Linked DNA regions of Coturnix japonica. The protein of the gene in region 1 interacts with the protein of each later gene in a biochemical or structural test. Links are inferred from orthologs where the notes say so. Each region holds a gene or a part of one and is shown in the gene's direction. Other genes may lie near its edges.

What was found.
Region 2: the proteins of BTK (region 1) and SH3BP5 form a complex in vitro, tested with the Homo sapiens proteins (2 studies listed by BioGRID, with this or other methods). The link is inferred for Coturnix japonica from reciprocal best matches to the Homo sapiens genes BTK and SH3BP5.
Region 3: the proteins of BTK (region 1) and IBTK form a complex in vitro, tested with the Homo sapiens proteins (2 studies listed by BioGRID). The link is inferred for Coturnix japonica from reciprocal best matches to the Homo sapiens genes BTK and IBTK.

What each region holds. Positions count from the first base shown.
Region 1 is NC_029519.1:1,979,198-1,982,846, forward strand, and holds part of BTK (tyrosine-protein kinase BTK), read left to right. Parts: intron 1-4; coding exon 5-103; intron 104-292; coding exon 293-358; intron 359-872; coding exon 873-954; intron 955-2,345; coding exon 2,346-2,474; intron 2,475-2,583; coding exon 2,584-2,651; intron 2,652-3,098; coding exon 3,099-3,280; intron 3,281-3,415; coding exon 3,416-3,478; intron 3,479-3,621; coding exon 3,622-3,649. UniProt on the Homo sapiens protein: Non-receptor tyrosine kinase indispensable for B lymphocyte development, differentiation and signaling. Binding of antigen to the B-cell antigen receptor (BCR) triggers signaling that ultimately leads to B-cell activation.
Region 2 is NC_029517.1:38,179,025-38,182,673, forward strand, and holds part of SH3BP5 (SH3 domain-binding protein 5), read left to right. Parts: intron 1-452; coding exon 453-617; intron 618-3,649. UniProt on the Homo sapiens protein: Functions as a guanine nucleotide exchange factor (GEF) with specificity for RAB11A and RAB25. Inhibits the auto- and transphosphorylation activity of BTK. Plays a negative regulatory role in BTK-related cytoplasmic signaling in B-cells.
Region 3 is NC_029518.1:71,346,820-71,350,468, forward strand, and holds part of IBTK (inhibitor of Bruton tyrosine kinase), read left to right. Parts: intron 1-886; 5' UTR 887-959; exon of another isoform or gene 960-1,209; 5' UTR 1,210-1,234; coding exon 1,235-1,558; intron 1,559-3,649. UniProt on the Homo sapiens protein: Acts as an inhibitor of BTK tyrosine kinase activity, thereby playing a role in B-cell development. Down-regulates BTK kinase activity, leading to interference with BTK-mediated calcium mobilization and NF-kappa-B-driven transcription.

The sequences.
Region 1 (3,649 bases):
GCAGCGTCGAGGCAGCAAGAAGGGCTCGGTGGACATTGAGAAGATCACCTGTGTGGAGACGGTGGTGCCCGAAAACAATCCTCCTCCTGAGCGGCAGGTCCCGGTGAGCGTCCCTGCTGCTGTCCCCTGTACTCTCTTTGGGGCAGTGCTGTCTGGTATGGAGCTCTGTGCACACAGTCCAAACTATACTGATGTCCAGCCCAACACAGAGCACGGGGCAGGAGAAAGGCAAGGGCTGTGGGAGCAGCTGAGCTGCAGGATGTCAGTGTCCATCTTTCCCTCTCTCTTCCAGAGGAAAGGGGAGGATTACAACATGGAGCAGATCTCCATCATTGAGCGGTTCCCCTACCCCTTTCAGGTTAGTTCTCATCGTGCTCACTTCACCTTTCTGCTTCAGCTGGCTGCAGGGTAGGAGCTGGCATTGCAGCAGGGGTGAGAAGAGCAGGGGGACATGAGGATAAGCACAGCATCATTTTGGGGACACCCTGCTGCTGTGTGGGGCAGGCTGATGAGCCTTCATGGGCAGTGAGGAATCGGGCGGCTCTCTGGAAAAGGAGATGGATGCTGGCCCTGAGCTTTGTCCTGCCATTTTTGGTCCCCTGGCCAGTCCTGGAGGGATGGATGCTCTTTGCTCACTCAGCCCCCAGCCCAGTTGCTCGTGCTCACTGGCACCCAGCACAATGAAAGTTAGAGAAGGAAGTGGAAAGTCTCAGGGGAAGGGGCTTATTTATAACGTCTCTGTCATGGTTCCATGAGCACCACGGGGCCAGCACACAACGGCACGGCTTTTGCTCCGGGTGGCTGCAAGCCTCTGCTCTCCTATTTCCCCCCATGAGCCATGGCCTGGTGCTGAGCACGTTGGTGTACTACAGGTGGTGTATGACGAGGGGCCCCTCTATGTCTTCTCCCCGACAGAGGAGCTGCGCAAACGCTGGATCCATCAGCTGAAGAGCGGTGAGTTTTGGGGCACCTGGCTGCACATGCGGTGTGACTCAGAGCGCTGGGTTTCCGGGGGCTTGCTGCCTCGTGGTTACGATATCCCATATCTGCGGAGGAGAGAGCTCTATCAGAAAGTGCTCCCATGACGAGCAAAGTCATAAGGCTATTCCCCTGCTTGCATCATTTGTACCATCCCTGTGCTAGCGTGAGCCTGGGGAGAGGGGGCACTCACCTCCTACTTATTCCTACAGCATTGTCTGAGGTATTTTGCCATCCCACAAACCTGCTCCAGAGCAGTTCAATCATCTTCAGAAGTCGCTGAGAGCAGGAGGAAATGGCAGATGTGGCCACAGAGCTCCACCAAGGGGAGGGTAGAGCCCCCATTGCATTAGGAAGGAAATGTGGACAAAAAGTGTATTAGGAGCCCAGCAGCATCTCTGAGCTCATTCCAAGCTCCATGTGGTGTTGCTGAGCTGATGCTTTGCTGAGGAGCTGCTCTCTCCTCGAGCTGTGAGCTCCTTGCTGCAGCACTTAACAGAGGGGCTGAGCTGTTTGTGGTCAGCCAAAATCTGATGGAGCTGCCTGTGTGTGTGTGTGTGTGTATCTTTCTGTTGCTTTATGCTGGTGGGGTTAGATTAGCTGCTCACATTGACACAGGGAAGTTTGCCTGAGCAAGGAGGAAGCAGAGCGGGCTGATAACAGGGAAGTCAGTTATCTCACAAGAGCCCTGCTGTTCTGCCTAGCTGCCAGCCCCACTTCCCCACTCCAGGAGGATGGTGTGGTGGCAGTGGAAGCCATTGCAGGATCTGCAGGGAAAGAGAGAGAGAAATACTGGCTGTTTGCTGCCGGGATGCCCACATCCTGCTTCCTGGAGAGACAGGGCTCTCTGCAGGCAGTGGAGATAGTGTGGGCCATCATGCTGAGGTGGCATTTAGGCACATCCAGGTGTCCCACAGCGTGGGGATGAGCAGCAAGAAGTCTGGGAGCAGTCCCCAGCAAGGAAGGCTGCTGAGCAGGCAGGGGATGGTAGGTGCATCTTGCTCTGCCCACAGGAAAACCAGGTCCAGCACCAAAGGCTCAAAAGCCCTGTGAGTTGTGGACCTCAACAGACAGCCTGGGGGATGCTGGACATGCAGGAGGACTGGCTGCAGCAGGACCTGGCCCTCCAGATGTGCTCATGTCCTTTTGCAGAGCTGCTGAATAGCTTTGATCAAATCTGAGAGGGAAGGGCTGGCCCTCCCCTGGCTAGCAGCTTGATGGCACAGAGGCAAGAGCAGCTAGCTGGTGGAAACCCAAGCAGCAGGGCCATGTAATTGTGTGTCAGTGGGAAAGCAGGGAGTGAAATAATTTACTAGGGCTGATCATCTGCATTTGGAGTCACACGCATCTCCCCTCCTTGGCTGCAGTTATCCGATACAACAGCGACTTGGTGCAGAAGTACCATCCCTGCTTCTGGATCGATGGCCAGTACCTGTGCTGCTCCCAGACAGCCAAGAACGCCATGGGCTGCAAGATCCTGGAGAGCAGGAATGGCAGTAAGACACTGGGCACCCTCCCCTTGCCCATTGCCAGCCCTGGTGATCACTTCCCACCTGCCCACCACAGGTAGGGATCTGTGCTCACCTTTGTTTTTGTGTTGTGGAGGTTTAAAAGCTGGGCGGTCACATCGCAAAACAAAGAAGCCTCTTCCCCCCACTCCTGAGGAGGACACGGTAAGGACCAGTGAACATGGGTTTGCTCCAAAGTGTTTAAAGAGAAGTCTGCAGAATTTTACAGACCAGAACTTGGCTTTGGAGGGGGATGTCAAATTAGAGCCCAAGGGGGCTTGAACCAGGGGATGGAGCCCAAAAAGCTGAAGGAACATTTAATGATCTCACCTTGAGGGTCCCCAGGGGGAGCTGAGAAAGAGAGTAACCCTGATACAGGATAAAGACCAAAGGTTCAGGGGAAAAATCTTAGCTTTGGTGAAGACAGGACTCCAAGAAGGAAATATGGCTGTAAAAAAACTCTGGGATGGGTCAGTCTCTTGGTGGAATTCAATGTGGGAGCTGAGATGGAATGCTGTGCTAACCTGGCCAGGCTTGGGGAGGGACTTTGCCCAGGAAACAGCATGCCTGCCAGCCTCACCGTGTTCCTTGCTCTCCCTTGCCGTGAGGAAGATGGTGATGAAGCCCCTGCCCCCTGAGCCAGCCCCCAGTGCAGCAGGCGAAATGAAAAAGGTGGTGGCCCTGTACAACTACGTGCCAATGAATGTGCAGGACCTGCAGCTGCAGAAGGGTGAGGAGTACCTCATCCTGGAGGAAAGCCACCTGCCCTGGTGGAAAGCCCGTGACAAAAATGGGTGAGAGCTCCCACTATCCATGGCATTCACCCTGCAGCTGTGTTCTATCCCAGCACTGCTCCCAGGGCAGCCCCAGGGACCCCCACCTCACACTGGGGAATCCCAACTGGTCTCAGACTCTGTTTTCTCTTGCAGAAGGGAAGGATACATCCCTAGCAACTATGTCACCGAAACCAGCAATTCCCTGGAGATTTATGAGTGAGTAGGAGAAAGTGTGGCGATCTGGCAAGTTGTGCTCAGTTGGAGACCTTTTACATCCTGTTCTGGGTCAGGATCAAGCCAGGATGTGAACAGGGCTGGCCTGGGGGTCGCCCTGATAGTTGTATCCCTCCCTGTTCCAGGTGGTACTCAAAGAATATCACTCGGAGC
Region 2 (3,649 bases), on another chromosome or scaffold:
TGGAAAAGCTGTGTATGCTTTACAGCAGTGTGAAACTCCAAAACATTTCCTCAGTGTGATTAATGGTGCACTGATAAAAATCTACCCTGACTGAAGTGAGGGAGTGCCTTTCTCAACGCATTCGTGACATGCTACAAGTTTACTGCATTCTTCTTTTTCTTTTGTTTCTCAGTGATTAAGCCTATTGCATCAGTTATTAATCTCTCAGCTGGGTGCTTGTTTGTAGGCCAGCAGCTCTGCAGTTTTGACTGTGAACGTCATTTGGCAGTTCCTTGCAAATTACCTGTTTGGGTGGAACAGGTAATGTCTTAGCAGTATTTACCCCAGTGAGCAAATATGTGTCAGTTCTAAGCAAACAGTTGGGAAACAGTAATGCTGGAGTAGGTGTTTTTAGAGTCTTGGAATTAACCTGGTAGATCCTTTGTCTCTAATCCTTATATTTCCATTTTTAGGCACAGCTGGAAGCCCAGAGAGCGACTCAGGATTTTCAGAGGGCGACTGAAGTGCTGCGTGCCGCAAAGGAGACTATTTCACTTGCTGAGCAGAGGCTTCTAGAGGATGACAAACGTCAGTTTGACTCTGCCTGGCAAGAGATGCTCAACCATGCTACGCAGAGGGTAATAGAAACACCGGGATGCTTTTCCGTGTTCAGTTTTCTTCTTTGAGATGTGATGCAAGTTTGTGAAGCACATTTTTTTTTATATCGGTCCAGACATATGACCTGTAGGAAATGAATCTACAGAAAATTATCAAGCCTGAGGTTAAATGATTTGGGCCATGGGCTCCTACTGGCACAAACTATAGCTTTCTATCTGACTTTGCTAGTAGGTAGGGGAGTGGCTCTTGCTTAAAAAAAGAATAATAATAAAAAATCACCATTAGTTTAACAGGGGTGAACAGCATCCCTGGGAATATTTGCATTTAAAGCCATGCAAAAATAATTGCATTGGGATGGCTTAATTGCATGGGGATGGCTATTCCTAAGTGTATGTGTTGCTGAAACTGACCATGGAGTACCAGGGATGTGTTCCAATGTAGTGTCACCTATTTTCAGCACGACGTTAGTTTCAGCAAGGCATTTTTGTCTGGAGTGTATCTGCATGTGGAATTACTAAGCGTGTGTTGCATTTTAAGCTTGCACACTTCTGTTATAAATTTACTTTCAAATTTAGAAAGGATCTTACCTTCCTGGTAAGGTCTTTTTAAGTCTACAGAGAAGATGCAGCAACAGTGAAAGGCAGTATTCATTTTTAGCAGCTGTCAAGAATTTTCCTGTCATTTGCCTTCTCTCTTTTTCCTTACCTGTTAAATATGCAGAAAGGTGTTGTGGTTTTCTTCTCTTTCTTTTTAACATGAAAAAACCCAAAATCTAAGTTGAAATCCTTTGTTCTGTCAGAGTTCCCCTGATATGTCAGTGAAGCTGAACTTGCTATTCCAAGCGTGGGGAGCGTGTCGTACAATGCTGGCGTTGTCTTGCAGTCTTCAATGCAGTAGCTTTGTTCTGTTGCAGAAGCTTCTTGGTTATAAGAAAACCTCTATTTCAGACTGAATTCTGAAACCAGCTGCCAGATGACGAAACAGAGAACAAAAAGGATGTTGGCTGTGTTGGGGAGAGATGGAAAACCCGGTATAAACTAAAACATGAATAATTAAAAAACGCACAGAAATCCGCTGGGGAGTAGTTGGTGTTACTGTCCCTGTCATTAAGTATTTGCAGATCTGGTAACCTCTGCGTTTCTGAACCCAGCTTTGCAGTGTGTTTGCCAAGACACCAACAGCTGTTGTTTTTTCCTTGGCTGTTATCCCTGTTTCATGTGAGTGAGGTCCAGAAATGCATACGCTATTTTTTTTTTTTATCCTCAGAGTAGATAGATGAGGAAGAAATAGAAGCTCCTAAGGAGTTGCTTAGAGTTTCTCTAAGGAGTTGCTGAGATGATTGAGAGCAGCCAATCAGCTGGCTCCCTCTAGCAGGCAGGAGAGAAGAAATGCTGGCAATTTTCAGGGTTTAAATGGATTCCTCCTTTCCTTGGATATCCTTAAGGAATTCCTGTGTCCTTCTGCAGCCCTTAATTGTTCTCAGACATCCTGCAGCCAAGACGAGCATGCCTGAGATTTCCAGACTTGGTGACTTAGAGCAGAAGAGGACTTCTCACAGTGTTTGGTGGAGCTGATGGTGTTTGCATGTACTGTCACTGAATGCAAGAGGTCTCCTTGTCCGGTCTGAGGACTGACTGAAACAGTGACTTCTCTGATGGTTGCAGCTGAACAGAACATAGGAGCCTTGTGTTTGCTCTGATGTAAAATCTCCTAGGCACAGATTGATCTGTGTAGAGCAGCTGAGGACTTACTGGATAGGCAGTGTGTTACCCTACTCTTTATGGTACTGAAAATAGTCTGGGTAAACTCAGATCCCAGAAAGCACATATCTTTGCCTTTCCAGGATACTGCATGTTTGGAAAGAAGTACATGGAAGTTTTCCTCCTGATTTTCATTAACCCTTTTAGCGATGTTGAGGATAGAGCCAGAGCCAACAAGGGTAAAGAAAACAACAACAATAAACAAAAATGTCTTGACTGGAAAAGCCTGGCAGTGGTTTGTTTGGAATACTGTCTGCGTTTCAGTCTTCTTTAAAAGCCGAGTGAATATGTTCTTCATTTCAGTGCATGCAATTAGTGAGGTTCTTAGGGTTCATTGAGGTACACAAACTACCATCAGTCAACCAGCACTCTGTTTCCATGTGGAAAGTCACTCTTGGAGAAGCTTTTTGCAGCCGTTGGGCTGCTCTTTTTTGGATTAGCTTTTTTTTTTTCCTTTATTTTTTTTGCCTATAACTGTAAATTACATCTATTGGACAGAGCATAATCTTGCACTGTGCCTTGTACAGCAATGAATCAAGTGCCAAACAGCATCTCTGGGCCAAATGTCAGAAGTGAGTTACTAATTCATTTGTTTCTATATTGGTAGAAACGAGAGGCAAGAGCGGAGTGTTTTTATTTGCCCTTCCTAGGCAGCAGTAGCAGACTCTATTGAATTAATTCAAAATTTGGAACAAATCCGAGCCCTAAAGCAGCTTGGTAGCTGACAGACAGTGCAGAGAACATAAGGAAAAGGGATAGGCAAGAGGACAAATCAGACACATCTTTATTTGTATAATCTTGTATGGAAATAAATCCTGGTTGCTTTTCCACTTAACCTAATGGATGCGAATGAAGACTTGAACTGCAAAGTACCTATTAGGAAATGCTGTTTGCAGATCTTGGTTGAAAAGAAATGGAGCTGAGGGCTGCACAGTGTAACTGCCTTTTGATTTCTCCATGGTTTGAAAAGATACTGTCACATTGAAAATAAGCGCTACTGGTATAACAGGATAATGTCAACAAGCCTTTTGTAGCCACTGAAATAGAGAAATCATCTGTGTAACTGTTTAGAAATGCAAGTGTTGGTGAAGATCTTCATCTCCTGGATGGGTCAGAAGCATAACATGTGGGAGATGTGTCTATATGCAGAGCAGACAACCAGCATGAGTAGGTACCGGGAGTACAGGTTGTCAGTCGGTATTTGGGTTTTGGGTGTGGGAGTCTTCCCTGTCTGTCGGTACCTGGAGTTGGTGGCACAGGTGGCCAGTGAAAGGAGGGATGAGGGGCAGAGA
Region 3 (3,649 bases), on another chromosome or scaffold:
GTAACACTTTAATATAGGTTCACATTTTTAATACTCTGTTAGTTCTTCGGTCATGTCTTGTTTACTCTTCATGAAATACATGCCAGAGATGGATATGCTGAAGTGTATTAAGCACATTCATAATAGTTGTGCATTAAAGTTCACATATTTAAATATGCATGGATGTGCTCCCTATCCAATCCACAACTTCATGTCTTCCTACCAGTTCCAGGAGCTTTACACCTTTATCTTGTGGGCAGCCAGCAATCTGAATTCTTGTGTGTACAGATTGCTTTTCTTGCCCCTTTTGCTGTCCTTCCTCTCACATGTCAGTAGCTCTGGAAGTGGTCAAAGGGACCTTGCTGTTCATTCTGCAGAAGAGACTTAGTAGGGCGAGGGTGGGCTCCGGGGCCAGGAAGAGAACCCTAAGCTTAATCCTTTATTGCAGAGGCAAAGGGAAACTGGTGGTTATCCTCCTCCAGGGCAAGATTGACAGAGCCAAGATGTATTCAATACCTGCTTGAGTTTCTTTAGTTTTGGTTATTTTTTTTCCTTCTGTTCAGTCCTTGCTTCCTAATAAACTGTTGGGGTCCTGAGGTGGTTCCTTCCCGGGAAAGGAAGTTGTTGTTGTTTTTTAGTTTACCTGTTTTTTTTCCTGGTTCATCATGTAGTCTCAAAGAAGGGGAGGAGTTACCTTCCAAGGCTGGGGTGGGGAGGGGATTCATGGCTTTTTAGACTGGCTAAATGCCTGACAGTAAGCTCAAATGGCATTAGACAAGTCAGTTAACCCTTGCTACTTTACGCCTGCACTTGTAAGCTCTAGTATGATATGCATTTAACTTTGTGCAGTTGATGGGGGAAAAGTTATTTTTATTGACTAATCTGTTCTGTTTTGTTCTTTTTTCAGGTCTCCCTTGCAATTATGGAGTTTTAGAAGAATAAAGGAGTGTGGAGGGGGAATCCCCCTCTCCACACATAAGGTAGTCGGTTCACTTCAGAATTTTCTATGGACAACAATATTTGTTATATATGATGGTGAAATAAGACTATTTAAAATATATATTTTTAAGTATTTATTTGGATCAAGTGCCAAATATAACATTACACAGATTTCTGATGGCAGCTCAATAAAACTGGATTTACATCTTTGGAATTACAAATTTTTTGAAGGCACTGTGTTGCATACTGAGTTGGAGTGCCTTGATATTCTTAATGGTTGTTCCCCTTAAGGAGAGGAGCAGCTTCCGAAGTGAAGATGAATTCTCTCCTGCCAGACTGCACTTCTAAGTGTCGATCTCTACAGCATGCTTTGGATGTTATTTCTGTAGTAACCAGAGGAAGTGAAGGCCAGATCAAAGCCTTTCTTTCTTCTTACTGCTACAACGCTGCAACTATAAAGGATGCCTTTGGTAGAAATGTTCTACATCTTGCTTCATCCTGTGGCAAGAAAGGTGTGCTGGACTGGTTGGCTGAGACCAAAGGAGTGGATCTCTTGGCGAAAGACAAGGAGTCTGGATGGACAGCTTTGCACAGAAGTATATTTTATGGATACATCGACTGTGTTCTGTCGCTACTGAAGGTGAGTATTTGCAACTGCAGTTTTTCTTGGAATTTGTGAGTTTTTGAGTGGTCTCAGTCACTTGAAAGTGAGTGGTTTTAAAACATGAGTGAAAGCCTCTTGAAGGTTATCTTAGCACTGTATTTAGATCATAGTGCACTGATATACTTGAAATTTGTCTTTGTATTCCTAAAATATATCTGTCTTTGCCCACTAAGAAATAAGTTCTGAGTAAGAGTCCCCAGTCAGTTGTGGACTTCCCTGAAAGACTGGTTTCACAGAATCACAGAATTGTAGGGGTTGGAAGGGACCTCCAGAGATCATTGAGTCCAACCCCCCTGCCAAAGCAGGTTCCCTACACCACGTCGCACAGGTAGGTATCCAGTCGGGTCTTGAATGTCTCTAGAGAAGGAGACTCCACCATCTCCCTGGGCAGCCTGTTCCAGTGCTCCATCACCCTCACCATAAAGAAGTTCTTGCGCACATTCATGTGGAACTTCCTGCTGTAGTTTCATCCCATTACCCCCAGTCCTGTCCCCACTCACTACTGAAAAGAGACCAGCCTCACCACTATGGCCCCCACACCTCAGGAATTTATAAACCTGGATCAAATCCCCTCTCAGCCTTCTTTTCTTAAGGCTATACAGACCCAGTTCACTTATTCTCATTTCATTTATATTTTAACCAGGGCTTCCACTTGGTTCCCTTTGTTCCTTCCTTGTTATATTGCTGCTTCTTCCCCTCCTCTTAGCAAGTTGTTTTTCATTTTTACTTCCTCCTTCTTCTGTTCCTCCAGTCCAGAGTAGAGCAACAGGAAGATCTGCATTTGATTGAGATGTTCAGGCTCCTTTTAGCCAAATATTTGTGGTTCAGGATGACTTAAAGCAAACTTTAAGGCAAAGTCTTTTGCATTTTGAGTTCAGCTTTCTAACATTGCGGTGACTAGCAATTTGTAAGCATTAAACTCTCTGCTTTCAAGAAGCAGTTTGAACAAAGTAGATGTGGATCCAGTAGTTCTTAATTATTGGAAGTGTGATAACTGATAAATATGCATTTCATGTGTTGTACTCCTGCATAGTGAGGAGGTTTTCTTTAAGCTTTCCAAAAGTAAATGTTTTTATGAGAATTGTAGGTGGTTCTGTTCTGTATAAAACTGGAAGCTGTATATGTGATGGTTGAGAAGGTATTGAATCCTCTAGTGTGTGTATGTGTCTCTGTGGCTTTGATATTTGCTTACAGGAGGCTGTTAGTGTTTTTCCCAAATGTGTTTTTTTATCAGTTGCATGACTATGTGAGGTTGTTATGATAGGTGGCTCTGTTGGTATTCCTCTTAGAAGAAAAATGAGTCATGGAGAGTGCTCTACCTTCTAGTTTCCTAACTCTCGCTCTGCTATGCAGTGTTATTAAAAGCATGTGTTCTTAAAAGCATGTGTTATAGATCATAGTTATGAAATAGCTGAGCTAGAAAGGGACCTTGGAGCAATTGGCTAGTCTGCACATCTGTACTTCAATGTTTTAACACCAGTTCAGTTAAAGTGTTTATATGTTTAAATGGAACTTCCTGTGTTTAAATTTGTACCCATTGCAGCTATACCTGTCACTGGATACCACTGATAACCCGTCTTGTTATGTATATGTATATGTATATAAATATATATATATATATACATATATATTTATTATACATACACACACACACACATATATATTTATATACATACACACATATATATACATATATATATACATATATATATGTGTGTGTATGTATATAAAATATCTACAGTCAACAAGAAGGGTCAAAAGGAAGACTTAGGGAGCTACGGGTCTGTCATGACTGAGGAATGTCATGGAACAGATAGTTTTGACTGTGATTTTATGGTGTGTGCAAGGACAGCCAGGAAATCAGGCTCAGCCAGTGTGGATTCATGAGAGGCAAGTCCTGCTTGATTAACTTGATTTCCTTCTGTGAGCAGATGATCCGTCTAATGGATGAAGGAAAGACTGTGAATGTAGTCTATGTAGACTTTAGTAAGGCCTTTGACTCTGTCTCCTGTAGTATTTTGCGAAGCTGTCTGGCTGTAGCTTGGACAGGTACAGTTCTTGCTGAGT